Linked DNA regions of Macaca mulatta. The protein of the gene in region 1 interacts with the protein of each later gene in a biochemical or structural test. Links are inferred from orthologs where the notes say so. Each region holds a gene or a part of one and is shown in the gene's direction. Other genes may lie near its edges. The genes, in order: CREBBP, KLF4, MAPK1, ATF4, SNAI1, H3-4 and JUN.

What was found.
Region 2: the proteins of CREBBP (region 1) and KLF4 form a complex in vitro, tested with the Homo sapiens proteins (2 studies listed by BioGRID, with this or other methods). The link is inferred for Macaca mulatta from reciprocal best matches to the Homo sapiens genes CREBBP and KLF4.
Region 3: of the proteins of CREBBP (region 1) and MAPK1, one has a biochemical effect on the other in vitro, tested with the Homo sapiens proteins (2 studies listed by BioGRID). The link is inferred for Macaca mulatta from reciprocal best matches to the Homo sapiens genes CREBBP and MAPK1.
Region 4: the proteins of CREBBP (region 1) and ATF4 form a complex in vitro, tested with the Homo sapiens proteins (2 studies listed by BioGRID). The link is inferred for Macaca mulatta from reciprocal best matches to the Homo sapiens genes CREBBP and ATF4.
Region 5: the proteins of CREBBP (region 1) and SNAI1 form a complex in vitro, tested with the Homo sapiens proteins (2 studies listed by BioGRID, with this or other methods). The link is inferred for Macaca mulatta from reciprocal best matches to the Homo sapiens genes CREBBP and SNAI1.
Region 6: of the proteins of CREBBP (region 1) and H3-4, one has a biochemical effect on the other in vitro, tested with the Homo sapiens proteins (2 studies listed by BioGRID). The link is inferred for Macaca mulatta from reciprocal best matches to the Homo sapiens genes CREBBP and H3-4.
Region 7: the proteins of CREBBP (region 1) and JUN form a complex in vitro, tested with the Homo sapiens proteins (4 studies listed by BioGRID, with this or other methods). The link is inferred for Macaca mulatta from reciprocal best matches to the Homo sapiens genes CREBBP and JUN.

Annotation. Positions count from the first base shown.
Region 1 is NC_133425.1:5,006,099-5,009,598, reverse strand, and holds part of CREBBP (CREB-binding protein), read left to right. Parts: intron 1-1,591; coding exon 1,592-1,834; intron 1,835-3,199; coding exon 3,200-3,302; intron 3,303-3,500. UniProt on the Homo sapiens protein: Acetylates histones, giving a specific tag for transcriptional activation. Mediates acetylation of histone H3 at 'Lys-18' and 'Lys-27' (H3K18ac and H3K27ac, respectively).
Region 2 is NC_133420.1:50,899,392-50,903,661, forward strand, and holds the start of KLF4 (Krueppel-like factor 4), read left to right. Parts: upstream 1-1,470; 5' UTR 1,471-1,780; coding exon 1,781-1,785; intron 1,786-1,899; coding exon 1,900-2,020; intron 2,021-2,685; coding exon 2,686-3,658; coding exon of another isoform or gene 3,659-3,757; coding exon 3,758-3,922; intron 3,923-4,270. UniProt on the Homo sapiens protein: Transcription factor; can act both as activator and as repressor. Binds the 5'-CACCC-3' core sequence. Binds to the promoter region of its own gene and can activate its own transcription.
Region 3 is NC_133415.1:31,122,609-31,126,886, forward strand, and holds the start of MAPK1 (mitogen-activated protein kinase 1), read left to right. Parts: upstream 1-1,478; 5' UTR 1,479-1,698; coding exon 1,699-1,817; intron 1,818-4,278. UniProt on the Homo sapiens protein: Serine/threonine kinase which acts as an essential component of the MAP kinase signal transduction pathway. MAPK1/ERK2 and MAPK3/ERK1 are the 2 MAPKs which play an important role in the MAPK/ERK cascade.
Region 4 is NC_133415.1:12,021,357-12,025,229, reverse strand, and holds ATF4 (cyclic AMP-dependent transcription factor ATF-4), read left to right. Parts: upstream 1-1,459; 5' UTR 1,460-2,133; coding exon 2,134-2,359; intron 2,360-2,460; coding exon 2,461-3,290; 3' UTR 3,291-3,373; downstream 3,374-3,873. UniProt on the Homo sapiens protein: Transcription factor that binds the cAMP response element (CRE) (consensus: 5'-GTGACGT[AC][AG]-3') and displays two biological functions, as regulator of metabolic and redox processes under normal cellular conditions, and as master transcription factor during integrated stress response (ISR).
Region 5 is NC_133415.1:102,823,108-102,827,100, forward strand, and holds the start of SNAI1 (zinc finger protein SNAI1), read left to right. Parts: upstream 1-1,193; 5' UTR 1,194-1,666; coding exon 1,667-1,748; intron 1,749-2,439; coding exon 2,440-2,967; intron 2,968-3,993. UniProt on the Homo sapiens protein: Involved in induction of the epithelial to mesenchymal transition (EMT), formation and maintenance of embryonic mesoderm, growth arrest, survival and cell migration.
Region 6 is NC_133406.1:86,178,103-86,181,719, reverse strand, and holds H3-4 (histone H3.1), read left to right. Parts: upstream 1-1,448; 5' UTR 1,449-2,162; coding exon 2,163-2,573; 3' UTR 2,574-3,117; downstream 3,118-3,617. UniProt on the Homo sapiens protein: Core component of nucleosome. Nucleosomes wrap and compact DNA into chromatin, limiting DNA accessibility to the cellular machineries which require DNA as a template.
Region 7 is NC_133406.1:181,864,933-181,869,095, forward strand, and holds JUN (transcription factor Jun), read left to right. Parts: upstream 1-1,363; 5' UTR 1,364-2,347; coding exon 2,348-3,352; 3' UTR 3,353-3,680; downstream 3,681-4,163. UniProt on the Homo sapiens protein: Transcription factor that recognizes and binds to the AP-1 consensus motif 5'-TGA[GC]TCA-3'.

The DNA of each region.
Region 1 (3,500 bases):
TCAGTTTCAGAAGTATGGTGGACACATGTTTAAAGTTTTGGGGAGTAGTAAGTATTAGAATACTTTTCAAGGTATTGTGCATGACTTACTTCAGCTACACACTTGTCATAAAGTGCACCTTGGGAGTTGCTTTTCATTTATGATAATGAGTGCTTGGTGTGTGTAATTGTGTCTGATGAGTGTTAATGAGTTGATCTGAGTATCCTTATTAGAAAAGTTAATAGTATGGAATGTATAATTACCAGGAATTTTCTTTTCACACATTTTAGTTTAATTAGGTCGCTCTGGGTAAGTATTGGGGTTACTATAGGTGCACTGATGGTTGAATGTGAGAATATTACTGTTACACATAGTGGTTGGAATTTGAAAGAAAGGCTTTGTGATCGTGTTTTATGTATCAAAAAATGATGTGTTATAGTAGCAACACTGTAGGATGCTATTTTTAACATGACTCTAAAATTTGTGGAAGTTAGAAAGGAACTCAAAAATAAGAATAAATAGTATGATGTAGAACTTCTGCCATATGATAAATTTTCACACAACATTTGGGTTGTTGGGACGGATGAGTGGGCAGGCAAACAGGTGGGTAGGTAGGTGGGTAGATGAATTGACTTTGAAATGCCCAAGTTGATGCAAGTTGATGCAAGTTTGGAGTAGTCTCTCCATTACCTTGGAAGCCCTTTGGGATGGAGCTTCTTATGTTGACACCAGTTTTTCCTTTAGTCTCCTGGGGTTAGCTAGCTGAATGGGGCAGCTTCCCTGCCAGCCAGCAGTGGGCCTGGGTAGCAGAATCTGATGTTGGCCATGTGAGGCAGAGCCACCTCCTGAATATCAGAGGTGCTGAGGTGGCCCCGGATAACAAGACCCATGCGGAATTGCGAAGCCTCACTCCAACCTTAATTTCAAACAAATCAGTCAATCAGTCAAGTTCAGTATTTCTTAAACAGCTTCATATAACCAGAGAGCTCAGCATGGTGCTCTGCTGCATAGGAATCCCGTCAGAAGGATGTGTTCATGCTGTCATTGCTTGTGTAAGTTTCAAGGACTTGCGATTATGTGATTTAGAAGAGCACATCATAGATTTATTAATCAAAACTGACCAACGAGGTATCATCTCTGCTCCTTCTCTTAAGCCCTCTGTACCTGTGCAGGTGAGCAGTGAAGGACAGGGTTGGGGTTAACAGCAGGAGGGTGCTCCTCTGTTCATCTCAAGGTGTCTGCTGCCCACCAGAGAATCAGACGTTTCCCTTGTCATACATTTGCCACTCCCTGGAACTGACCTCTTGAGGAGTCTCTAGGTTTTAAAACATACTAATTTTTTTCAGGTGTTATCTGTGAAATTTTATGATCTGTTGCCTGCTAAGATAGAAACTTCACTTTTCTTTCACTTTTTGTTCCTCACTTACTGCTAGGCAGAATACATGAGTCCTTCAGCACAGTTCCTTTCTCCCTAGCCTTGTTTTACTGCTTTATGATATTCATGTGTAGTATTTTGATGAAATGTATTTGCTTCTCAGTAGTTTTTTAAATCATTTGTGGGCTTCTCCCTTTTACTTACCTTTCTCGTTTGTCTGTCTGTTTGTCGTTATAGCCATCCTGGGGTCTCCAGCTAGTGGAATTCAAAACACAATTGGTTCTGTTGGCACAGGGCAACAGAATGCCACTTCTTTAAGTAACCCAAATCCCATAGACCCCAGCTCCATGCAGCGAGCCTATGCTGCTCTCGGACTCCCCTACATGAACCAGCCCCAGACGCAGCTGCAGCCTCAGGTTCCTGGCCAGCAACCAGCACAGCCTCAAACCCACCAGCAGATGAGGACTCTCAACCCCCTGGGTAGGTGAAGAAACTCTCAACTTCATTCTTACTTGTCCAAATATAGCAAAGGGAATGGAGTGATGGAACCCAAGGCAGTTTTCAGTTTGTTTTGTGTTTTTTACTACAGTGGTTGAAATAAAAATCTCCCAGTAAAAAGCTGAAGTGTCTAATGCAAGGAAAATGTTATATGCTTATAAAAAGAGCAGCATTTGCAAATGAAGCAATGTTTTTGTTGCTTGCTGTGCCACTTCTCTCTGGACAGTTTTCATAAAGAATGTGCCATGTGGCTCAGAATGCAGATCTCACAAGTCAGGATGCTGACTGGACCCCTCGTGCTGACTGTTGTCATTTATTTGATGGAGAACTTGCGTTTGCCACTTCCTCACACATCTTGGTTAGGGTCTACCCCACAGTTGGAAGTGACCAGCCTGGACTTCGGCAGGTTAATGACAGGAGCCCTGGAAACTCTTTTCCCAGGCTGCTGGACATGTCAGCATTTCTTTTGTCACCCCAGCCCATTATTTGCCCACCTTTGGTCATTTGCTCACACATACCCATGATTTTTGCCATTTCTGCATATGGTTTCCTTAATATTTTTCTTTAAGTGGACACAGTCCCTTTACATCTAGGCTTAAGCTAAGCAGTGATGTCTGTGAAGTCCAGACTGGCTGGCTGGCTGTGCTAGTTTTGTTCTTTTCCTAATAAAGTATTTTACGGTTAACAATTATTCCTTAAAATATGCCCAGCTAAAGTCATCTTATTTGTTGCTTTTTGGAAAACAACTGCCCCAGTGAATGTCTAACTAATAGTGGCCAGGAGACTGGGTTAGAGTCCTGAGACCCAAGTCTTAATCTAACTCCTCTCCTGTTGATGGTATAATTTAGGACAAACTTAACCTTTATTAATCTCGGCCTTCCTTTACTTTAATATGAAGATTGTAGACAAATTGACCTCTGTATTTTTTTCCTGAGCTTAATTTCTATGATTTTATTTTCTGATATTGGGGGTGGAGACACAGAGGTATATGTCAGTGCAGCTGAGTCACTCAGGAGTGATACTAATGAAGCAGAATGAAAGTCAGAGGCTGCATATGGATCATTTATAACTTTTTCACTTAGATACCAGCTAATCTCCATAAACACACCTTACTTTGGTTACAAAGTAGAGTGGGGAGGTGTCTACTGATTATTTGTGCACGTTGATTACCATTATTGAAAATATGACACTCGGGGTTCCTGCCTCAGTGCTTATTATAACTGACCAGAATCACTTATTTAAATAATCACCAATTGTTTATGTGATGACATGTTGGTTATCTGTCATCAAAACTTTGAAGTATATATTAAAATTTAAGAGTTGATTGATTTCTTTCTGTCTTTAAAGGAAATAATCCAATGAACATTCCAGCAGGAGGAATAACAACAGATCAGCAGCCCCCAAACTTGATTTCAGAATCAGCTCTTCCGACTTCCTTGGGGGCCACAAAGTAAGACCCTGTTTCAGTTCTGAGTGACAGTCCAACAAGAACGTGGACTGAGAACCACACAAAACTGATTCTTTCTAAATGTGTGGCACAGAAAATAGTTTAAATGGGGTGGTGAGGGGTGAATGCTGTTTTCCTTTTTTTCTTTAATTGTAAGTGTAGAGCAGATAATAGATTAAACATAGTTTAAGTTTTATTTAT
Region 2 (4,270 bases), on another chromosome or scaffold:
AGAAACTCCGTCTCTACGAAAAACAACAAAAATTAGCCGGGGTCGTAGAGCACGCCTGTAATCCCCGCTACTCGGGAGGCTGAGGCAGGAGAATCGCTTGAACCCAGGAGGAGGATGTTGCAGTGAGCTGAGATCGTGCCACTGCATTCCAGCCTGGGTGACAGAGCGAGTGTGTCCAAAAAGAAAAAGAAAGGAAAGAGAAAGAAGAAAGAAAGAGAGAGAAAGAAGGGGAGAGGGAGAGAGGGGGGGGGGGAGAGAGAGAGAGAGAGAGAGAGAGAGAGAGAGAGAGAGAGAGAGAAAGAGTGCTTCGAGACGGCTGGTTGAAAAGTGTCTCCGCGCCTCACAGTCCCTCTTCTCTCCCTCACCCCTTTGAGTAAATCTTGAGCCCTTTCATTCCCTTTCTCGCTTTTTAAAGTATCAAAACCATAACTCCCCACTCTTGCCTCTTTCTGCCTGTTCCCGGCGGAACACTCCTCTGGCCTTCTCCTGAGGCTCCCAGTTCACGCTGCACAGTGCTGGGCACCCGCTTCCTCTCCACACCCCTAGCGCCCCCCACCCCTCGGCAGAAGGGACCGCGAGGAACCGTGCGAGGTCAGGCCGAGCGCCGGCACGGGCACTGGCGCTGCGCGGCGAGAGCGGACTCCAGCGAGCGCAGGGAGGGAGGGGGAGACCGAGGGCTGGATGAGTCACGCGGATAATCGCGCTCTTCTCCAGCGCGCAGACAGCGCGGCAAGCGCGTATGCGAGCAGGGGTGGGGACGCGTGACCGTCCCGCCCGCTGACCCCACCAGTCTTCGCGGGCTTCGAACCCACGGAGCCGACAATGGCGGTGAGTACTGCCCTGGTCGCGCAGAGACCGAACCTGCGCCCGGTTCCTCGCGCCCAGCTCTGGGGCGGACGCCGCCGCCGCCGACACCACTGCCGCCGGCGTCAGCTCGGCTCCAGCCCGCCAGCTGCCCGGCTGGCGTCACGGCCCGGCCCGGCCCGGCCCCGCCCGCGCCCCTCCTTCCCCTCCCCCGCCCCCACGTGCGCCGAGTTTGTTGATTTAGCTGCCATAGCAACGATGGAGGGGAGCCTCGGGGGGGGCGGAGAGAAGAAAGGGAGGGGCGGGGCATGGGAGAAGGCGGAGGAAAAGGCTGTTAGCGAAGGAAGTTATAAGTAAGGAGCGCGCGCCGGCGGCCGGCAGTTCCCCGACCAGAGAGAGCGAACGTGTCTGCGGGCGCGCGGGGAGCAGAGGCGGTGGCGGGCGGCGGCGGCGGCACCGGGAGCCGCCGAGTGACCCTCCCCGCCCCTCTGGCCCCCCACCCTCGCACCCGCCCGTGGCCCGCGCCCATGGCCGCGCGCGTTCCACACAACTCCCCGGACTCCGCGCCCTGCGCCGCCAACCAGTTCGCAGCTCCGCGCCACCGCAGCCAGTCTCACCTGGCGGCACCATCCGCCCACCGCCCCGGCCACAGCCCCTGCGCCCACGGCAGCACTCAAGGCGACCGCGACAGCGGTGGGGGACGCTGCTGAGTGGAAGAGAGCGCAGCCCGGCCACCGGACCTACTTACTCGCCTTGCTGATTGTCTGTTTTTGAGTTTACAACTTTTCCAAGAACTTTTGTATACAAAGGAACTTTTTAAAAAGGACGCTTCCAATTTATATTTAATCCAAAGAAGAAGGATCTCGGCCAATTTGGGGTTTTCGGTTTTGGCTTCGTTTCTTCTCTACGTTGACTTTGGGGTTCGGGTGCCCCAGCTGCTTCGGGCTCCCGAGGACCTTTCTGGGCCCCCGAATTAATGAGGTAGGTGAGGCGCGCGGCGCTGGGAGCAGGGAGGGGTGAGGACCGGTGGGACGCGCCGGAACGACGGCCGAAAGCCGCCCCTGACTCTGTCTCTGCGCCCTGCCCGGCTCGCAGGCAGCCACCTGGCGAGTCTGACATGGCTGTCAGCGACGCGCTGCTCCCATCTTTCTCCACGTTCGCGTCTGGCCCGGCGGGAAGGGAGAAGACACTGCGTCAAGCAGGTGCCCCGAATAACGTGAGTATCGTATCACCCCGGGCCGCCGGGAACGCCCGGTGGGTTTCCGTGGGTGTGGTGGGGGCGGGCGGAGCTCTGGGGTCACTAAGCCACTGAACGAGGGTAAGGAGCGGCCACCGCGCGGACTCCGCAGCCTTCCCGGGTTAGCTTCCGTGCCCTTGGCTCAGCTGTACATGCCCGTGGTGCGAGCACTGCGGAGCCGCCTGGGGCGCAAGCCGGGTCTTCACCAGTCCCCGGGCGCCCTGTCGGTAGGGCGGGCGCGCGCAGGCCACCAGGCGGGAGGTGGCCGCATCCCCAGACACTGGCTGGGCCAGAGTGAGTTTAGCGCGTAGGCGGCCCCGTGGCTAGAGCGCACCGAGAGAGCCTCGGTGTGCCAATTCCGGGGACGTCCACGGGACTTGGCGGGGGAGGGACCAGCCGTGGCGCTCGCTCACACGCAATTGGGTAGACAGTACATAACGCCCGCGATACAGACGCATCACCTCTTCTCCGACCCGGGTGTGGGCCGAGATTGCAGCCCTGGCGCCCTGGGTTCCCGGGTGATTGCTGCCTGACCAGTCCCCATGTCTGGGCGGTGCAGTTGCGTGTGGCCCGCCAGCACGTCGGTATGTCGGGTGGCAACAGGGGACCACCACTGACGGGCCTCTCCCGCCCTGTCCCCTCAGCGCTGGCGGGAGGAGCTCTCCCACATGAAGCGACTTCCCCCGGTGCTTCCCGGCCGCCCGTATGACCTGGCGGCGGCGACCGTGGCCACAGACTTGGAGAGCGGCGTAGCCGGTGCGGCTTGCGGCGGTAGCAACCTGGCGCCCCTACCTCGGAGAGAGACCGAGGAGTTCAACGATCTCCTGGACCTGGACTTTATCCTCTCCAATTCGCTGACCCATCCTCCGGAGTCAGTGGCCGCCACCGTGTCCTCGTCAGCGTCAGCCTCTTCCTCGTCGTCCCCGTCGAGCAGCGGCCCTGCCAGCGCGCCCTCCACCTGCAGCTTCACCTATCCGATCCGGGCCGGGAGCGACCCGGGCGTGGCGCCGGGCGGCACGGGCGGAGGCCTCCTCTATGGGAGGGAGTCCGCTCCCCCTCCGACGGCTCCCTTCAACCTGGCGGACATCAACGACGTGAGCCCCTCGGGCGGCTTCGTGGCCGAGCTCCTCCGGCCAGAATTGGACCCGGTGTACATTCCGCCGCAGCAGCCGCCGCCGCCAGGTGGCGGGCTGATGGGCAAGTTCGTGCTGAAGGCGTCGCTGAGCGCCCCTGGCAGCGAGTACGGCAGCCCGTCGGTCATCAGCGTCAGCAAAGGCAGCCCTGACGGTAGCCACCCGGTGGTGGTGGCGCCCTACAACGGTGGGCCGCCGCGAACGTGCCCCAAGATTAAGCAGGAGGCGGTCTCCTCGTGCACCCACTTGGGCGCTGGACCCCCTCTCAGCAATGGCCACCGGCCGGCTGCACACGACTTCCCCCTGGGGCGGCAGCTCCCCAGCAGGACTACCCCGACCCTGGGTCTTGAGGAAGTGCTAAGCAGCAGGGACTGTCACCCTGCCCTGCCGCTTCCCCCCGGCTTCCATCCCCACCCGGGGCCCAATTACCCATCCTTCCTGCCCGACCAGATGCAGCCTCAAGTCCCGCCGCTCCATTACCAAGGTCAGTCCCGGGGATTTATAGCTCGGGCTGGGGAGCTCTGTGTGTGCTGGCCCCTTGGGGCACAGGGGATGATGCTCACCCCACCTTCTCCACCCCTAGAGCTCATGCCACCCGGTTCCTGCATGCCGGAGGAGCCCAAGCCAAAGAGGGGAAGACGATCGTGGCCCCGGAAAAGGACGGCCACCCACACTTGTGATTACGCGGGCTGCGGCAAAACCTACACAAAGAGTTCCCATCTCAAGGCACACCTGCGAACCCACACAGGTAGGGGGACAAACTGCGGAAGCAAGGGGTTAGCTTCCAGCCCTATGGGGCTACCAGTGGACACTCCTCAGTGCTTCCTTGGCTTCCCAGGGCAGTCTATCACCTTGATCTCTGGGATCACTGGGGAGGACAGCGAACCGGCGCCTACTTTTCTTCCTAGCCTTTTGCTTGATGGATGGTATCTGTGCTTGAATGTGCAATTTTGTTTGGCCTTTAAAAGGCAGAGATTCCCCGCGGTCTGTGGGCCTCTCCTAGCTTGGGCATTGTAATCAAGAAATTATACTTTGCTATGCAAAAGCATGATGGCTTTTTTTTAAACTAGGTTTTTAATGTTACCTTCCCAGGTTC
Region 3 (4,278 bases), on another chromosome or scaffold:
GTTGTTTGTGACTGTTTCTGGGTCTGGTGTGTCTGTCTCTTTATCTCTAAATCTCGATGTTTTGGTTTTAGTGACTTCATCTTTGCATTTCTATTTCAGTACCTGCTGTCAATATTTCTGCCCATCTGTACCAATCTGGGTCTGTTTCCGAACGCAAATGTATCTCTCATGTGTTTCGACCCACTGACCCCTAATCCCTTACTCTCTGCTTTGTATTTCTTTTTTCTTTTCTTTCCTTTTTTTTTTTTTTTGGAGACGGAGTCTTGCTCTGTTGCCCAGCCTGGAGTGCAGTGGCGTGGCTCACCGTAACCTCCTCCTCCCGGGTTCAAGCGATTCTCCTGCCTCAGCCTCCCGTGTAGCTGGGATTACAGGCACCCACCACCACGCCAAGCTAATTTTTGTATTATTATTATTTTGTTTTCGAGACGGAGTCTTGTTCTGTCGCCCAGGCTGAAGTGCAGTGAGGCGATCTCAGCTCACTGCAACCTCCGCCTCCCGTGTTCAAGCCATCCTCCTGCCTCAGCCTCCCAAGTAACTGGGATAACAGGCGCCCGCCACCGCGCCCAGTTAAATTTTATATTTTTAGTAGAGACGGGGTTTTACCATGTTGGCCAGGCTGGTTTTGAACTCCTGATCTCGTGATCCGCCCGCCTCAGTTTCCCAAAGTGCTGGGATTACAGGCATGAGCCACCTCGCCCGGACTTAATTTTTGTATTTTCAGTAGAGACCTGGTCTCAAACTCCTGATCTCAAGTGATCCGCCCGCCTTGGCCTCCCAAAGTGACAGGCGTGAGACACCGCACCCTCCCTTCTGCTCTGTACTTCTTCATCCTACTTATCACAACTTGAGTATTACACGTATTTGTCTGTCTGTCTCTCTCTAAAAAGTAACTCCCAGGAACATGGAGTGTGCTCAACAAACATCTGAACCAACCTGATTCGCGTATCCTCTCTGTCTCCTTTTAATCTCAACAATTGTGTTTCACACTTTCTCAGTATGCAAATATCTTTCTCGGTCTGGGGTCATGCCTTTCGGTTTCTGCCCCAGTGCCAAGGCCTCTTAAGTTCATCAGCGTGTGGACCACGGATTCGCAGAGGCCTGAGCTGTGGCGCGGCCGGGCTATGGCGCGTCGTCGGGCCTCAAGCACAGCCCCTTGTCCCTCGCTGGCTCTGTTCGGTACTTCCTCGGGTGCTCGCCCGGGCCCCTGCCATCTCTCACTTCAGCCCCGTGGGTTCTGCCCCACGTCTGTCTCCCTGGGTGTCTGAAGAGACAAGTCCCGCGCCGACGCCCCCGCGAACGCACGTGACCGCGCCCGCTGGTGCCCCCTTAGTCAACGCCGCGCAGTACCCCTCCCGGAGCCCGCCGCTTCCGCTGGGCCGCGCGGCCCCGCCCCCAGCCGCTAGGAACCAATCCGCATGCACGCTGCTTGGCCCCGCCCGGGCACCCTTCTCGGCGCGCGCCCCTCCCTCCGCCCGCCCGCCGGCCCGCCCGTCAGTCTGGCAGGCAGGCAGGCAGTCGGTACGAGTTGTCGTGGGCTCTTCAGGTCTGCCACACGGCGTCTTCTTTCCTCCTCCCGGTCAGCGGCGGCGGCTGCACCGGCGGCGGCACAGTCCCTTCAGGAGGGGCGATAGAAGCTGAGCGGCGGCCGCCGAGCGTCGAGCTCAGCGCGGCGGAGGCGGCGGCGGCCCGGCAGCCAACATGGCGGCGGCGGCGGCGGCGGGCGCGGGCCCGGAGATGGTCCGCGGGCAGGTGTTCGACGTGGGACCGCGCTACACCAACCTCTCGTACATCGGCGAGGGTGCCTACGGCATGGTGTGGTGAGTGTCCGCGCCCGGCCACGCCCGGCCCCCCCGCCGCCCGGGGCCGCAGCGGACGCAGCCTCGGCCTCGCCGGCGCCTCGGCCTCGGGCGCCGCGGCGACCTCGAACCCGGACTTCACTGCGGTCCGCGCGCCAGGGCTCGGGCGGGGCCCTGGGCCGGTTGAGGTTTAGGTGGTGTTGCTCTCGCGCTTCCCGGGCCGGCGGTCGCTCGGGAAGGGGCGCAGCGTGGGGGGCGGGGGGCGGAGGCCGGGACTAGTGGACCCTCGGCCCCGGGCGCAGCGCCGCCTTTAAAGTCTGGACCCTCGGGAAGGCAACGGAAGCGCCTCCACCCCCCAATTTGCTAGTATCATGGCCTTCTTTTGGACTTTCGATTGTAAAACCGGGAATTCCATCAGATGCTTGTCGGTGTTGGCGGCGGTGGCTGCTGAGGTCCTGAAAGCGGTTCGCCTCCGTGTGTGTGCAGAACACCGAAATAATTTTTCTCTCCTCGCCTCTGTTTGCAGCCAACGGCTTTCATTAACTGTCCTCAGCGGTGCTAATGGTGGTCTCCGCGCAGGCTTTCTAAAATGGATTACTGACACCAGTGTTGGTGGAGTATTTCCGTCTTGAAGTTTGTACTTTCAAGTGGATTTTAATATCGTACTGCTAGCGTTTCAGGAAGGATAAACCAACATTACTCTCTTCATTTATTAAAGATCCATTTAGAGTTGGGCCTAATTTGACTTTTTTTTTAGCCCCCAAGTGAGCTCTTTTACCAGCATAAATGCTCCCAGATGTTTTAGCCCAATTGCTATGGACTCCTGTTAATGATTTAGTGGTCATTATGTATGCAGCCTTAATGGAGTTATTGCAGAATCACGTGTAGACTCCCTCATCTTGATTCAGGTCCCTTAGAAAAGTGAAATGATAGTGACGGTTTTTCTTTCTCTCTTTTTTTTGAGACGGGGTCTCGCTCTGTTGCCCAGGCTGAAGTGCAGTGGCGCGATCTCTGTTCACTTCAACCTCCGCCTCCTAGGTTCAAGCGATTCTCTTGCCTCAGCCTCCCTAGTAGCTGAGACTGCAGGCGCGCGCCACCACGCCCGGCTAATTTTTGTATTTTTTAGTAGAGACAGGGTGTCACCATGTTGACCCGGATGGTCTCGATCTATTGATCTAGTGATCCGCCCGTCTCGGCCTCCCAAAGTGCTGGGATTACAGGCGTGAGCCACCGCGCGCCGCTGACGGTATTGTTTTTATTAAAGCAAACTAGCGGTAGCATTTTGTGCTGGTGAGGACTTGTGGAAATAGATTTCCTTAAATCTGAATCTTGTGAATGTGTCTTTTGTGTTGACTGAAGGAAGTAAACTAATAATTTATTGAGCACTTCGTGGCAGGTACTGTGCTACATATATTATTTCATTTTATTTGAACAGCCACATTGAGGGAGGAAAAGATGGTGTTATTCCTTTTTTCAGGTGAGAAAGTGTTTCGAGGTGAAGCCAATTCCTGAGGTCATAGAACTAGAGTTATTAAGATTGTAGACTGAGATTCTACTAGACACACTGCAGCTCTTTTCAGCTGTCTTTAGGAAAACACTCTGCGTTCCTTAGTGTAATTAATACTTGCAGAATTTTCTGTATCTTACTGTTACAAAGTAAATACAAGTCTGTTTCAGAAATGTATTCAAATTTCAATCATCATAATTTTAGAAATGCCATAGAAGGCATGTTTTACCAAGTATGGTAGCTAGATAGAAAGATTAGTTAAAATTCTTTTAAAAGAGACTTTAATTGAATCTTTAATGTTTTCACTTTCTTTAGGAGCAAAATGCTGAATACAACTGTGAAAATTAATATGAACTCACAGGCTTAGGAGCCAAGAGAGAATTTAAATTAGGTCGAGCCTAAAAGAAATAAGGCCCTGAAAAGTAATGAAGAGAAAGTATTGCCAGTAGCATTATTTCTCCACCATACATCTCATTGCTGTTGCACTCACTGGGAAGCGTGCCAGTGAACATGTCTCATTATGAGAGGCTCAGAATTTCCCATCACATCCTTTGGCCCTTTTAACAAGATTAGCTTATCTAAAATGTGGACTGAAAAAAGTCTTTTACGTTTAGGACATGTCAATTGAAAAGATACCCCCATCTGATAAGATTTCTCCTGTCTGATAAGATTTTTACTAGTCTGAAGTTGTTTAGATGTGGGAACCACTTCTGTCACTGCTGTAGGCTTATTTGACCATCTGACTCTCCATTTGAAATGCTAAGTCCTCTTTTTGTGATTTTCTTTTCCTAAGTGAAATACAAATATAATTGGAATTTGAATCCTAGATCCAGATTATAGCCTTTTATCAGGTTGATGACATACCCTGCTGTTAACCTTCTCCATTGCACGTTATTAGCATTTAATAAATGTTGGCTAGCAGTGCTGGGTTTATGGAGGGCTTGTTGAAATATTCACTAATATTTGAATAGTGAT
Region 4 (3,873 bases), on another chromosome or scaffold:
GGACGATGCGGAGGTTTCCTGTATTAAAACAGACTACCCCCCCTTCCCAACGCACAACCCCGAGCACGTGGCCGTGGGTTCCCAAGCGCCTCTCCTCCCAGGGCCATGGGCATGACCACCGAAAAGCGGGTTAGGCCGGGGAGTTCAGAACCCGGAGTGAATCGAAACTACCCCAGGTAGATGGCAGCGAAGAAAATTCTGTTCTTAGGGGAACGCAATCTTCGGACACCAGAAGTTCCCCTATGATGCTATTCTGTGGCAGCCTCGCACTTGAGCCGGATGAGAATTGTAAAAACCCAGGTTGGGAGACAGGACGGCGCGTCTTCCCGGCTCCTTTCCAGAGTTTAGACGGAGCCATGCAGACTCAGCTGGCCTTTGGGTGTAGGTGGGCAGGCCCGAGGCGCCCTCTCGAGACCCCTTCAACCTCCCGGGGGCAGCAACACCGTATCGGCTATGAATGGCGTCTCTGGAAAACTCAGGCTTGGAACAGGTAACCCCCCGGTTTCCGCAGGCCAGAAATCAGCCCCCGCAACCGAAGGACGCGCAGGCTGGGAGTGGCGGCGGGGCCGCCAGTGGCGGACCTCCACTGAGGGCGGCGGGACCCGACCGCAGGGGCTGGGCCCTGAGGCCACTATGGGGTGCGCTAGGCTAAGGTCTCCTGGGGGCAGGAGCCAGTGCGATTGTAGCTGGCCAGCAGGCTGGCCGGCCTGAGGCCTGGCAGAGACCCGAGACCCCGACCCTTACCACGCGGACTCCGTGATCCCTCTCCCAGCAGCCGCCCACCTGGGGCCCTGAGCCAATAAGAGCTCGAGGTATATATGACTCACCGTGCCTGGGCCAATCAACTTGACGCGCGCTCTTCGCCAGCACCTCGCGCGATAACCTGGCTTCCTCGGCCTTCACAATAAAAACTCTCCGCCGGAAAACGACCTCTCCCCGCCCACCGCGCCGACACCGGAAGCGAGGCGTGTCTGCGAGATCACTCCGCGCTCCGGCGGCGAAGGAAAGAACGGACTCTGATCATAGAAGTCTAGTAAAGTAGTGCACCTCTCTCGTTTCGTGAGGTCATAAGAACAAACACCTTTTCTCGTCACAGCTACGCGCTGGGCATAAACGGTTGGGGCGTCAAAGGGAGGGAAACGAGCGGGCGGGAGGAGATGGTCACGTGGCCGTGGCGGAAGGATGCGTCGGTGCTGCGTCCCCTTAGAGACGAAGTCTATAAAGGGCCGGCGGGCGGCTGCTGCGGCCATTTCTACTTCGTCCGCCCACAAATGTAGTTTGGTTTGCACGTGTGCGCCTTCCCTCCTCCCCGCCCGCAGGGTCCACGGCCACCATGGCGTATTAGGGGCAGCAGTGCCTGCGGCAGCATTGGCCTTTGCAGCGGCGGCAGCAGCACCAGGCTCTGCAGCGGCACCCCCCCCAGCGGCTTAAGCCATGGCGTGAGTACCAGGGCGGGTCGTCCAGCTGTGCTCCCTGGGCCGGCGCAGGATTTGGGTTGGTGGGGTGCGGCCTGGGGCCGGGGCGGTGCCGCCAAGGAGGAAGCGATTTTACGAGCGCCCGGGACGCGTGGTCTTTGCTTGGGTGTCCCCGAGACGCTCGCGTGCCCGGGATCGGGAAGGCGCATTCTGGTGCCAGGACTGCTTCCACAGGGGCCCTGCCGCCCTCGGACCCCGAGTCCCCCAAGGGTCCCAGGGGTCTCGGCTTTCCCCCCCGCGAAACGTGGCAAGAACCAAGATGGCGGCGGCAGGGCGGCGCCGCGGGCGTGAGTCAAGGGCGGGCGGTGGGCGGGGCGCGGCCGCCCTGGCCTTATTTGGACGCGGGGACGGAGCGCCTTCCTCTTGGTGGCCGGTGGAAGAATCGCCTGGTCTCCGTGAGCGTCCATTTTGTGGAACCTGAGCCGCAGCAGGGAGGGGCGGATGCAACTGCCCCGTTGCCGACTCTATAGATGGCTGGACTAGAGAAGTCCCGCCTCGTAAGTGGAAAGATGAAATTCTCAGACCAGCTAACCTCTAATGGGAGTTGGCTTCTGATTCCCATTCAGGCTTCTCACGGCATTCAGCAGCAGCGTTGCTGTAACCGACAAAGACATCTTCGAATTAAGCACATTCCTCGATTCCAGCAAAGCACCGCAACATGACCGAAATGAGCTTCCTGAGCAGCGAGGTGTTGGTGGGGGACTTGATGTCCCCCTTCGACCAGTCGGGTTTGGGGGCTGAAGAAAGCCTAGGTCTCTTAGATGACTACCTGGAGGTGGCCAAGCACTTCAAACCTCATGGGTTCTCCAGCGACAAGGCTAAGGCGGGCTCCTCCGAATGGCTGGCTGTGGATGGGTTGGTCAGTCCCTCCAACAACGGCAAGGGTGAGTGGGCCACCACCACATCGTCTGGGTGGGATCTAGGGTTAGGGGCCTGTTATCTTTGTATCTGACTCACTTGGCCCTGTCATTCAAATCTTTTGCAGAGGATGCCTTCTCCGGGACAGATTGGATGTTGGAGAAAATGGATTTGAAGGAGTTCGACTTTGATGCCCTGTTGGGTATAGATGACCTGGAAACCATGCCAGATGACCTTTTGACCACGTTGGATGACACGTGTGATCTCTTTGCCCCCCTAGTCCAGGAGACTAACAAGGAGCCCCCACAGACGGTGAACCCAATTGGCCATCTCCCAGAAAGTTTAACAAAACCCGACCAGGTTGCCCCCTTCACCTTCTTGCAACCTCTTCCCCTTTCCCCAGGGGTCCTGTCCTCCACTCCAGATCATTCCTTTAGTTTAGAGCTGGGCAGTGAAGTGGATATCACTGAAGGAGATAGGAAGCCAGATGCCACTGCTTATGTTGCCATGATCCCTCCGTGCATAAAGGAGGAAGACACCCCCTCAGATAATGATAGTGGCATCTGTATGAGCCCGGAGTCCTATCTGGGCTCTCCTCAGCATAGCCCGTCTACCAGGGGCTCTCCAAATAGGAGCCTCCCATCTCCAGGTGTTCTCTGTGGCTCTGCCCGCCCCAAACCTTACGACCCTCCTGGAGAGAAGATGGTAGAAGCAAAAGTAAAGGGTGAGAAACTGGATAAGAAGCTGAAAAAAATGGAGCAAAACAAGACAGCAGCCACTAGGTACCGCCAGAAGAAGAGGGCGGAGCAGGAGGCCCTCACTGGCGAGTGCAAAGAGCTGGAAAAGAAGAATGAGGCTTTAAAAGAGAGGGCGGATTCCCTGGCCAAGGAGATCCAGTACCTGAAAGATTTGATAGAAGAGGTCCGCAAGGCAAGGGGGAAGAAAAGGGTCCCCTAGTTGAGGGTAGTCAGGAGCGTCAGTGTGCTTGTACATAGAGTCTCTGCTGTTGCTGTGTGTTGGAATAAATTATTTTGTAGGGAAAGTACTTGTGTGAATTCCTTTTCTGGCAAATTAGCCGAGTGAGGCGCCAACCACGCATCCCAAACTGGTTATAACATTCCTTGTGAGATCTGGGGAGGAGGGCAGTCCAGGACTGAAGATGGGTACCCAGAGTGGGAACTGCTCGCCCTGCTAGGTGTAAGCCACGATGTCTGATGACTCATGGGGCCATACAGCCGGATAGTTGGCCAACTGTAGCAAGTTGGGTCCTTTACCCAGAGGTGAGTTCGCTGGTTGTGTAGGGAGGAGGCTGGAGCTCTCTGAGAGGTTGGGAGGGAGGGACAGCCTGGGCCTCTTACCTATTTATTCAAGAGGGCTTCATGCCAACAGCTGTCGCCTGAAACCCTGGATAAGCTTGCACAGTCCTTGAGATAAGCACACAAGATTAGTTTTCACTTGTTACCCTGAGTTCTGTAGAAACGTGTTCCTGAAGAAAGAAATGGCTCCTTTTCGGAATTGATGCTGAAGCAGGACAGGAGCT
Region 5 (3,993 bases), on another chromosome or scaffold:
GAGGGTTTGAGCAGAGGAGGGGGTGCTCTGGCCTCACTCTGGCTTCCAGCAGAGGATCCTGATTGGAGCTAAATTGACACGGGAGGGAGAGTATTCCGCCTAATAACTGCTTCCTGCCTATGTCCTCCACCCTACTCCCCACTCTCCAGCTAGAAACAGGGGAAGACGATTTTGTTCACGGCTGTTACATCCGGCACCAAGTGACCAAAACAGACAGTAGTTCTGCCCTTCATGTTGCTGGTGGTGGTGTGGGGTGCTTATAGGTTTTTCTAGTCTTCCTTCACAGGTGGAAACAAGAACGGTGAGACCTGTGAGGTTTATTTCAGCGCTACTCCCGGGCCTGGTATGCCTCCCAGGGAAGCTGGGGTGGGGGTGCAGCTGCCCCTCACCTGGGCCCACCCCACATGCATTCAGTCAGGGCCCCTACAGAGCAACGTTAGAGCCTTTAGACACAGGATCGAGGATCTTCACAGGGGTGAGGAGACACGCCCGGCCCATCCCTTCTTTCTCCCGCCGGCCTACAAGGATCTTTTTCTACGAAACTCTAACCAGGTCCCTCGTCAGCTGAAAATCCTTCGGTGGCTCCCCAGTGCCTTTGAGGCAAAGTCCAACCTCCTACGAGGCCCTGGGGCACAGCACATCTGACCCTTCCGGGCCTGCCCACCCCACGCCATCCCTGAGAGCTGCTCTCTAGGAGTTACTCTGAAGCAGTTGCCACTTCTTCCCTCGGGCCTTTTCCCTTGATAATTCTTCACTTCCTCTGGGAAGTCACCCCGACCCCCTGTCAGGTGACCCGCCTCTTAACGGTCGCTGCGTCCCGTCTCTCCCCCGCCAAAGCACACTTCCCTTTGCATTGTAATTGTCTGTTTACTTCGTCTGTCTCCCCCACTGGACCGGGAGCTACCCTTCGGGAGAGGCCTTGAATGTCCTGTCCGGGGCTGTGCCCTGCCCCAGGTACAGCTGGGCCCTCCGCAAACACTGGCTAAGGGAAGGAACGGGCGCTCTTCGCTAGCTGGGCCAGGCTGCTTTGCAAAACGGCCGTAGCATTTCACGCCGCCAGGAGCCACGTGCGGTGTCCGTTTCCTCGCTTCCTCCCCAGCAATGTGCATTTCCCTCGTCAATGCCACGCTCTCCAGGCGCCAGCCGGGCGGAGGAAATTTCCGCCCCCTCCTAAGCCCGAGGCGGGGGCGGGCGTCGGAAGGTCAGGTGTCCCGGCCCGCGCGCAGCGCCAGGGGGCGTCAGAAGCGCTCCGACCACGGGGCGCTGAGCAGGTGGGCGCGCGGCGTTCTGGCGGGGTCCCACCTCGCAGGGGCCTCGCTTCGCTCGACGTCCCGCCCCGGACAGTCCGAGCACCACGGACGACCCGCGCTGCGCCTGCGAACTCCGCCTCGGAGGAGCCCCCGCCCGGGCTCCCAGCGCCACGCGGCGCGAGCCCGGCCAGCCCCCGGCGCACCTGCTCGGGGAGTGGCCTTCGGCGGAGACGGGCCTCCGATTGGCGCGGAGGTGACAAAGGGGCGTGGCAGATGAGGCCCCTCCCCTCCCACCCCCTTGGAGTATTTAAGGGAGTTGGCGGCGCGGCTGCTCTCATTGCGCCGCGGTCCGGCCTTGTGAGTGGTACGTTTGCGCTGCTCCTGCGCGACTCGGCGACCCCAGTGCCTCGGCCACCATGCCGCGCTCTTTCCTCGTCAGAAAGCCCTCCGACCCCAATCGGAAGCCTAACTACAGCGAGCTGCAGGACTCTAATCCAGGTGTGTTGGAGGGGTGGTGGGCTCCAGGAGGTTTGGGGGAGACAGGCGAAGGCTGCGTGGGGGCCACCTGAGGGAGGCGGCCTGTCTGAGCCAGGATCGAGTCACAGGGTGTTTTGTGGAGCATTGCGGGCTCGGGCTCGGGCTCGGGAGACCGGGCAGGTGGGTCCCCAGTCCTGGGGATCGGTCTGGGTGGTTGGGGGAGTGCTGTGTAGAGAGCAGGGGTTTTGTGCTTGGGTGGCCTGTGTAGCCGGCGAGAGGCGGAGGAGCTCCGCGAGAGTGGGAGAGGAGGCCTGTGTCAGGAAGGCCCTCTGGACGCTGCTGGGGAGAGTCCGGAGTCCAGAGGGTTGAGGGGAGGGGTGGGGAGACGAGATGTGTGTGAGGAGGGGGATTGGGGCAGGGTGGTGGCTCCAGGGCTGGGGTGATGGGGTTCTGGCCTCAGGCTGGGGACTTGGGACTTAGGAGAGGGAGATCTGGAAATGACCCCCTTCAACTGGGGGTCCTACCTGTGAGAGACTCAGATTGGGTGACCTGGGCCAGGAGGGCAGGAACCTGGTCTGTCCTGTGGATCATTTTTTTTATCTAATTATGTGTTGAGAATCAGCCCTACCCAGCCCCTGGCCAGCGGTGGGTTCATGTTTGTTGATTGAGTGAATGATTTAATTAACGCCTGACTCTGCTTTTTCTCTCTCAGAGTTTACCTTCCAGCAGCCCTACGACCAGGCCCACCTGCTGGCAGCCATCCCACCTCCAGAGATCCTCAATCCCACCGCCTCGCTGCCAATGCTCATCTGGGACTCTGTCCTGGCGCCCCAAGCCCAGCCAATTGCCTGGGCCTCCCTTCGGCCCCAGGAGAGTCCCAGGGCGGCAGAGCTGACCTCCCTGTCGGACGAGGACAGTGGGAAAGGCTCCCAGCCTCCCAGCCCACCCTCACCGGCTACTTCGTCCTTCTCCTCTACTTCAGCCTCTTCCTTGGAGGCTGAGGCCTATGCTGCCTTCCCAGGCTTGGGCCAAGTGCCCAAGCAGCTGGCCCAGCTCTCTGAGGCCAAGGATCTCCAGTCTCGAAAGGCCTTCAACTGCAAATACTGCAACAAGGAATACCTCAGCCTGGGTGCCCTCAAGATGCACATCCGAAGCCACACGCTGCCCTGCGTCTGCGGAACCTGCGGGAAGGCCTTCTCCAGGCCCTGGCTGCTACAAGGCCATGTCCGGACCCACACTGGTAAGTGCCCCTCCAGGCGCCCCCACCGTTGCTTTCTGTGGCAGCTTTGTGAATTGGGACTTGCTGTTCTCATTCGCAAAGTTGTGGACACTGAGGCCCCGAGTCTCCTAACTTCCAGCTCAAGTTCAGGGGCCTGCTCTCTGGAAATGTTTGGCAGAAACGTTCCTTCATCAGCTAAGCAGATGAGCAAAGCAGACACCTTCCCAATCCCTGCAGCCTGTTTCTCAGCCAAATGGGCTGGAGCTGGATATCGGAAAAGTGCAACCAACACCTTGCTCTGGGGGCCACAGGTGTGAAGGGGCCCACCCAGCCCCACCCTCTCCCGGTCCGCCCCCTCCCTAGCCAGACAGGATGTTGTCAGACCCCCCACCTGGCTCTGAATCCTTTGAGAACTTTCTCAAAGCTTAGGCTGATGTTTCACTTCTGTGAGCCTCATTTTCTCTATCTTTCAGATGGGCATGAGAACAGCTTGTGGGGTTTCTGTACGGGCTAAATGCAGGAATGCATATGGGAATCACCTGGCAAAGTGCCGGGTACCTGCTAAACTGTCACAAAAATGGTTCCTTGGCATTTGCTCTGCTTCCCTGCTGTGTGACTTTGGGCAAGCAACTTAACCTCTCTGAGACTCGGGAGAATTATGATGGCATATGTTTTAGAGAGTGGCTGTAGGCCGGGCGCGGTGGCTCAAGCCTGTAATCCCAGCACTTTGGGAGGCCGAGACGGGCGGATCACAAGGTCAGGAGATCGAGACCAGCCTGGCTAACATGGTGAAACCCCGTCTCTACTAAAAAAAATACAAAAAACTAGCCGGGTGAGGTGGCAGGCGCCTGTAGTCCCAGCTACTCGGGAGGCTGAGGCAGGAGAATGGCGTAGACCCGGGAGGCGGAGCTGAGATGCGGCCACTGCACTCCAGCCTGGGCGACAGAGTGAGACTCCGTCTCAAAAAAAAAAAAAAAAAAAAAAAGAGAGTGGCTGTAAAGGTGGCTAATCACTTTATAGTAATTTATTATACCCGAATAGTTCTCA
Region 6 (3,617 bases), on another chromosome or scaffold:
TATTGGCTTATGGTTTCCCAGGCTGTACAAGAAGCACGGTGGCTGGGTGCAGTGGCTCACGCCTGTAATCCCAGCTACTCGGGAGGCTGAGGCAGGAGAGTTGCTTGAACTTCCCGGGAGGCGGACGTTGTAGTGGGCTGAGATCACACCACTGCACTCCAGCCTGGGCAACAGGGTGAGACTCAGGTCAAAAAAACAAAAAAAGCACGGTGGCCCAGCATGGTGGCTCAAGCCTGTAATCCTAGCACTTTGGGAGGCCAAGGTCGGGGGATCAGTTGAACTCAGGAATTCAAGACCAGCTTGGTCAACATAATGACAGCCCATCTCTCCAAAAAATTTAAAAATTAGCTGGATGTGGTCCCAGCTACTTGGGAGGCTGAGGTAGGAGGGGCCTGGGCAACAGAGCAAGACTGAAAAAAGAAAGAGAGGAGGGGAGGGGAGGGAAGAAGATAAAAAGAAAGGAAAGGAAGGAAGGAAGAAAGGGAGCGAAGAAGGGAGGGAGGGAGAGAGAAAGGAAGGGAGGGAGGGAGAATGGAAGGAAGCAAGTATAGGGCCCACCTCTGCTTCTGGTGAGGGCCTCTGGCTGCTTCTGCTCATGGTGGAAGGTGAAGGGGAACCCATGTGTGTGCAGAGGTCACAGGACTGCACAAGAGAGGAAGCCAGAAAGAGAGGGGAGGGGAGTGCCAGGCTCTTTTCAACAACCAGCTCTTCAGGGAACCAACAGAGTGAGAACTCACCCTAAAGGAGGGCAGGACTCTATTCAGAGGGTGACACCTCCAGGACCCACACACCTCCCACTGAGCCCCGGCTCCAACTTTAGGGATCAAATTTCAGCTTCAGAGTTGGAGGAGATTTGGAAGCTTCCACCTTCTGGTCCTTGATGATAAGAACGTTCCCTTCCTTTTACTATAAGGAGAACATCTTTCATAGGGGAATTCTATTTCTTGCCTTTAAGAAACAACAAGAAATTCAGAATGATCTTCCTACACCTGCCTCTTTTTTTTTTTTTTTTTTTTTTTAAGTGCCTTTATCTCAAAAGAGTTAATATGCCAGAAAGGCATATCTTTACCTTCTTCAGCATCCTAAGGCTCATCTGAGCCATACAGCAAAGGGAGTTCTTTGCAGGTCATAAAAAGTGGAAGACTCCTTTAACTCTGGTTGGATCCCAGAGCTGTATCACTGTGTAAAAGTGGAATGCCGGCTGGGCGCGGTGGCTCACGCCTGTAATCCCAGCATTTTGGGAGGCTGAGGCAGGTGGATCACGAGGTCAGGAGATCGAGATCATCCTGGCTAACATGGTGAAACCCTGTCTCTACTAAAAATACAAAACAAAATTAGCCGGGTGTGGTGGTGGGCGCCTGTAGTCCCAGCTATTTGGGAGGCTGAGGCAGGAGAATTGCCTGAACCCTGGAGGCGGAGCTTGCAGTGAGCCGGGATTGCGCCACTGCACTCCAGCCTGGGTAACAGAGCGAGACTCCGTCTCAAAAAAAAAAAAAAAAAGTGGAATGCCAGCTGGGCCTGGTGGCTCATGCCTGTAATCCCAGCACTTTGGGAGGCCGAGGCAGGTGGATCACCTGAGGTCAGGAGTTTGAGACCAGCCTGGCCAATATGGTGAAAACCCATCTCTTTGTGGTGGATACCTGTAATCCCTGTAATCCCAGTTACTTGGTAGGCTGAGGCAGAAGAATCGCTTGAACCTGGGAGGTAGAGGTTGCAGTGAGCAGAGATCGCGCCATTGCACTCCAGCCTGGGCAACAAGAGTTAAACTCCATCTCAAAAAATTTTTTTAAAATTAATTTTTAAAAAAAGTGGAATGCCGCATGCTGGCTTTCGGAAGGCTCTTCCCACCCAAGTCATGAGGAAGGGAGAAGAGGATTGCTGAGGAGACACGAGGAAGCTTGTGCTGGAGAGAGATGATCTCCACCGCCGTGGCCTACCCGCATCAACCCTTCACAATGCTGGTGCTAGCTCTGGTGGCCACGACCAACAAGCACTAATATAAGGGAGAGGCGGCCGAGTGGCGTGCCCTGTGGACCAATCAGAGAGTAGGGGGCCATCACGCCACCTGAGGCCAGCCAATGAAAACGCGGCAAGCTCTATAAAAGCGGGCAATCAGCTTAGGTCTGGTCAGAGGACACAGCAGAGACAACAGTTTCAAATTCATGGCCCGAACCAAGCAGACTGCGCGCAAGTCGACGGGTGGCAAGGCGCCACGCAAGCAGCTGGCCACTAAGGTGGCTCGCAAGAGCGCACCCGCCACTGGCGGCGTGAAGAAGCCGCACCGCTACCGACCTGGCACAGTGGCGCTTCGCGAGATCCGCCGCTACCAGAAGTCCACTGAGCTGCTAATCCGCAAGCTGCCCTTCCAGCGGCTGGTGCGCGAGATCGCTCAGGACTTTAAGACCGACCTGCGCTTCCAGAGCTCGGCCGTGATGGCGCTGCAGGAGGCGTGCGAGTCTTACCTGGTTGGGCTGTTCGAGGACACCAACCTGTGTGCCATCCACGCCAAACGGGTCACCATCATGCCCAAGGACATCCAGCTGGCACGCCGTATCCGTGGGGAGCGGGCCTAGGAGGGCCATCTCGCCACCTGAGAGGTTGCGCAACGTTCACCCCAAAGGCTCTTTTAAGAGCCACCCACCTGGTCGGAAGAGTTGCTGTAGCAAGCCAGGCTCTTGGGTTTTGGGGGTTCCTTCCGCTGGCCGGTGCTGGCTTACCTAATTCTGATTAGGGTGGGAGGCTGGCGAATCCTGTGTTCACCCTGTCCAGTTAGGAGGCCAGCTACTCATGCGCGTTACCTCCCAGCCTGTCTCCAGTTACAAGTCCAGCTAGTCGTGTGTGGTGCTAACTTGGTCTATCCCTTTAGATAAGAATCATGGTTGGTCTGTTTGGGGACGGGGTGTTGAGGGTAGCGTAACTGGCCTATCTGCAGTTAGGTAAGCAACCCCAGCTAGTTGTGTCAACTCAGCCTATCTACAGTTAGGTTGGAAGGCTGGCTGGTCTTGTGTGTTCTCAGCTCAGCCTCTTTCAAACTGTTACAAGTCCTGCGTGTGTGTGTGTGTGTGTACACACAGCTTCTTTCCAGTGAGGTTACCAGTCCAGCTAGTCTCCTACCTAGACAGCCTGTTAAGGCCAGCAAGTAGTATGTGTTATCTTGGCCTATTTTCAGTTAGAAGTCCAGCTACTTCACCAGCGTGGCAGCTCAGGTCTGTAATCCCAGCACTTTGGGAGGCCAAGGCGGGTGGATCACCTGAGGTCAGGAGTTCCAGACCTGCCTGGCCAACATGGTGAAACCCCATCTCTACTAAAAAGACAAAAATTAGCCAGGTGTGGTGGCACATGCCCGTAATCCCAGCTACTTGGGAGGCTGAGGCAGGAGAACTGCTTGAACCCAGGAGACAGATGTTGCAGTGAGCCAAGATCATGCCACTGCACTCCAGCATGGGCAACAGAGCGAGACTCAGTCTCAAAACCAAAAAAAAAAAAAAAAAAAAAAACAAAGTCCAGCTACTTGTGTGTGTTAACTCAGCCTACCTCCTGTTAATTTAGAAAGCTGGCTAGTTGTATATCTTGTTAACTTGGGCTATCTCCCATTAGGTTAGAAGGCTGGCTAGGGG
Region 7 (4,163 bases), on another chromosome or scaffold:
GCATTCCCGACTTCGGGATTCTTTCCACCACACACTTTCGTCCCTAAGGGGTGGGGGGCGGGGGGAAGATAAAATAACAACCGCGGAAAAGGAACCACTTACATGTGTCTAGCGCTTCCTAGAGGCTACTCAGGATATGGGCCCACCACCCGGCCGGGAAGGCGGAGATTTGAAGTCCAGGTTCTACCCCGGGCTCCTGAGTTCTACTGCGTTACTTTATGCGAGTGTCCCCCGCCTTCTGAGCTTGTTTTCCCGGAAGCAACTCGGCGCGGGTGGAGAGTGTGTGCGTGTGTGTGTGTGTGTGCGCGCGCGCATGTTGTGCGTGTTGTGTTAAGCGTGTGTGTGTTGTCCGGGGGCGGGAAGGGGAGTAGACTAACACCGGGGTTCCCCGAGTTTCGGATCGCCTACACGCTTGTTCCCATCTGGACCCTGTTACCCACTAATTGCGCCCACTATAAAAACTGCCCCTCGGAGGCAAAGCTGTGATCCCCCGCGCCCTTTCCCCCACGGTCCCGGAGGATGAAGTGGGGTGCAACGGAGACTCAGCTGAGCGTCCAGTTTTGGGCAATACAAATCTCTCAGCTTCTAAGAGCAGCCAGACAACCCCGCGGACCATCCCTCCTGAACTTGACCGAGATGCAAACTTCGCAGCGTTTCTCAACGTGGGGGGCCGACTCTCGGGAGACCGCCCCCAAACTTAAGCCCCCTTAGGCTCGCCCCCAACTGGGACTTCACAGAGCCACCTTAAGGGCGGCGCTCCCGCCCCCCGGAAGTGCGGGGGGGCGGCGGACCTGGACTCTCAGCCTCCCGCCCCGCGCGGTGGCGGACGCCGGTGGATGACTTCGAGCCCCACAAGTGGGGAAACACAACCACCCCTCGCCCGCACCCTTGACCCAAAACAACTGGCCGGGTTCCCTGGCCTCCCGGGTCCCCGCATCCCCTGCATCCCAGTCCGCAGCCGTGAACTTGAGCCCCCTCCGTCAGATGTTGCGAGCGTCCGCCCGCTCGCGGCAGCCACCGTCACTAGACAGTCAAACCCCAAGACGTCAGCCCACAATGCACCGGGCGGGCCGGGAAAAACGGCCCGGGGAGGGGACCGGGGAAGAGAGGGCCGAGAGGCGTGCGGCAGGGGGGAGGGTAGGAGAAAGAAGGGCCCGACTGTAGGAGGGCAGCGGAGCATTACCTCATCCCGTGAGCCTCCGCGGGCCCAGAGAAGAATCTTCTAGGGTGGAGTCTCCATGGTGACGGGCGGGCCCGCCCCCCTGAGAGCGACGCGAGCCAATGGGAAGGCCTTGGGGTGACATCATGGGCTATTTTTAGGGGTTGACTGGTAGCAGATAAGTGTTGAGCTCGAGCTGGATAAGGGCTCAGAGTTGCACTGAGTGTGGCTGAAGCAGCGAGGCGGGAGTGGAGGTGCGCGGACTCAGGCAGGCAGACAGACACAACCAGCCAGCCAGGACGGCAGTATAGTCCGAACTGCAAATCTTATTTTCTTTTCCACCGTCTCTCCAACTGCCCAGAGCTAGCGCCTGTGGCTCCCGGGCTGGTGTTACGAGGAGTGCCCAGAGAGCCTGGTCTCCAGCCGCCCCCAGGAGGAGAGCCCTGCTGCCCAGGCGCTGTTGACAGCGGTGGCGAGCAGCGGTACCCACGCGCCCGCCGGGGGAAGTCGGCGAGCGACTGCAGCAGCAAAGAACTTTCTCGGCCCGGAGGACCGGAGACAACTGGCCCAGAGTCCCGGAGCGAACTTTTGCAAGCCTTTCCTGCGTCTTAGGCTATTCGGCGGCGGTAAAGACCAGGAGGCGGCGGACAGCCACGCAAAAGAAGAAGGACGTGCGCTCAGCTTCGCTCGCACCGGTTGCTGAACTTGGGCGAGCGCGAGCCGCGGCTGCCGGGCGCCCCCTCCCCCTCGCAGCGGAGGAGGGGACAAGTCGTCGGAGTCTGGGCGGCCGAGACCCGCCGCTGGTCGGCCTCTGCGGGTCGGCACTGATCCGCGCCGCCGGGAGAGCCGCTGCTCTGGGAAGCGAGTTCGCCCGCGGACTCCAAGGAACGGCGGCGCCCGAAGAGCGCTCAGTGAGTGACCGCGACTTTTCAAAGCCGGGTAGCGCGCGCGCGAGTCGACAAGTAAGAGTGCGGGAGGCATCTTAATTAACCCTGCGCTCCCTGGAGCGAGCTGGTGAGGAGGGCGCAGCGGGGACGACAACCAGCGGGTGCGCGCGCTCTTAGAGAAACTTTCCCTGCCAAAGGCCCCGGGGGGCACGGGTGTCCCCCGCTTGCCAGAGCGCTGTTGCGGCCCCGAAACTTCAGCACGCAGCCCAAACTAACCTCACGTGAAGTGACGGACTGTTCTATGACTGCAAAGATGGAAACGACCTTCTATGATGATGCCCTCAACGCCTCGTTCCTCCCGTCCGAGAGCGGAGCTTATGGCTACAGTAACCCCAAGATCCTGAAACAGAGCATGACCCTGAACCTGGCCGACCCAGTGGGGAGCCTGAAGCCGCACCTCCGCGCCAAGAACTCGGACCTCCTCACCTCGCCCGACGTGGGGCTGCTCAAGCTGGCGTCGCCCGAGCTGGAGCGCCTGATAATCCAGTCCAGCAACGGGCACATCACCACCACGCCGACCCCCACCCAGTTCCTGTGCCCCAAGAACGTGACAGACGAGCAGGAGGGCTTCGCCGAGGGCTTCGTGCGCGCCCTGGCCGAACTGCACAGCCAGAACACGCTGCCCAGCGTCACGTCAGCGGCGCAGCCGGTCAGCGGGGCGGGCATGGTAGCTCCAGCGGTAGCCTCGGTGGCAGGGGGCAGCGGCAGCGGAGGCTTCAGCGCCAGCCTGCACAGCGAGCCGCCCGTCTACGCCAACCTCAGCAACTTCAACCCAGGCGCGCTGAGCAGCGGCGGCGGGGCGCCCTCCTACGGCGCGGCCGGCCTGGCCTTTCCCGCGCAACCCCAGCAGCAGCAGCCGCCGCCGCAGCCGCCGCACCACCTGCCCCAGCAGATGCCCGTGCAGCACCCGCGGCTGCAAGCCCTGAAGGAGGAGCCTCAGACAGTGCCCGAGATGCCTGGCGAGACGCCGCCCCTGTCCCCCATTGACATGGAGTCCCAGGAGCGGATCAAGGCGGAGAGGAAGCGTATGAGGAACCGCATTGCTGCCTCCAAGTGCCGAAAAAGGAAGCTGGAGAGAATCGCCCGGCTGGAGGAAAAAGTGAAAACCTTGAAAGCTCAGAACTCGGAGCTGGCGTCCACGGCCAACATGCTCAGGGAACAGGTGGCACAGCTTAAACAGAAAGTCATGAACCACGTTAACAGTGGGTGCCAACTCATGCTAACGCAGCAGTTGCAAACATTTTGAAGAGAGACTGTTGGGGGCTGAGGGGCAACGGAGAAAAAAAATAACACAGAGAGACAGACTTGAGAACTTGACAAGTTGCGACGGAGAGAAAAAAGAAGTGTCCGAGAACTAAAGCCAAGGGTATCCAAGTTGGACTGGGTTGCGTCCTGACGGCGCCCCCAGTGTGCACGAGTGGGAAGGACTTGGCGCGCCCTCCCTTGGCGTGGAGCCAGGGAGCGGCCGCCTGCGGGCTGCCCCGCTTTGCGGACGGGCTGTCCCCGCGCGGACGGAACGTTGGACTTTTCGTTAACATTGACCAAGAACTGCATGGACCTAACATTCGATCTCATTCAGTATTAAAGGGGGGAGGGGGAGGGGGTTACAAACTGCAATAGAGACTGTAGATTGCTTCTGTAGTACTCATTAAGAACACAAAGCGGGGGGGAGGGCTGGGGAGGGGCGGCAGGAGGGAGGTTTGTGAGAGCGAGGCTGAGCCTACAGATGAACTCTTTCTGGCCTGCCTTCGTTAACTGTGTATGTACATATATATATTTTTTAATTTGATGAAAGCTGATTACTGTCAATAAACAGCTTCATGCCTTTGTAAGTTATTTCTTGTTTGTTTGTTTGGGTGTCCTGCCCAGTGTTGTTTGTAAATAAGAGATTTGGAGCACTCTGAGTTTACCATTTGTAATAAAGTATATAATTTTTTTATGTTTTGTTTCTGAAAATTCCAGAAAGGATATTTAAGAAAATACAATAAACTATTGAAAAGTACTCCCCTAACCTCTTTTCTGCATCATCTATAGATACTAGCTATCTAGGTGGAGTT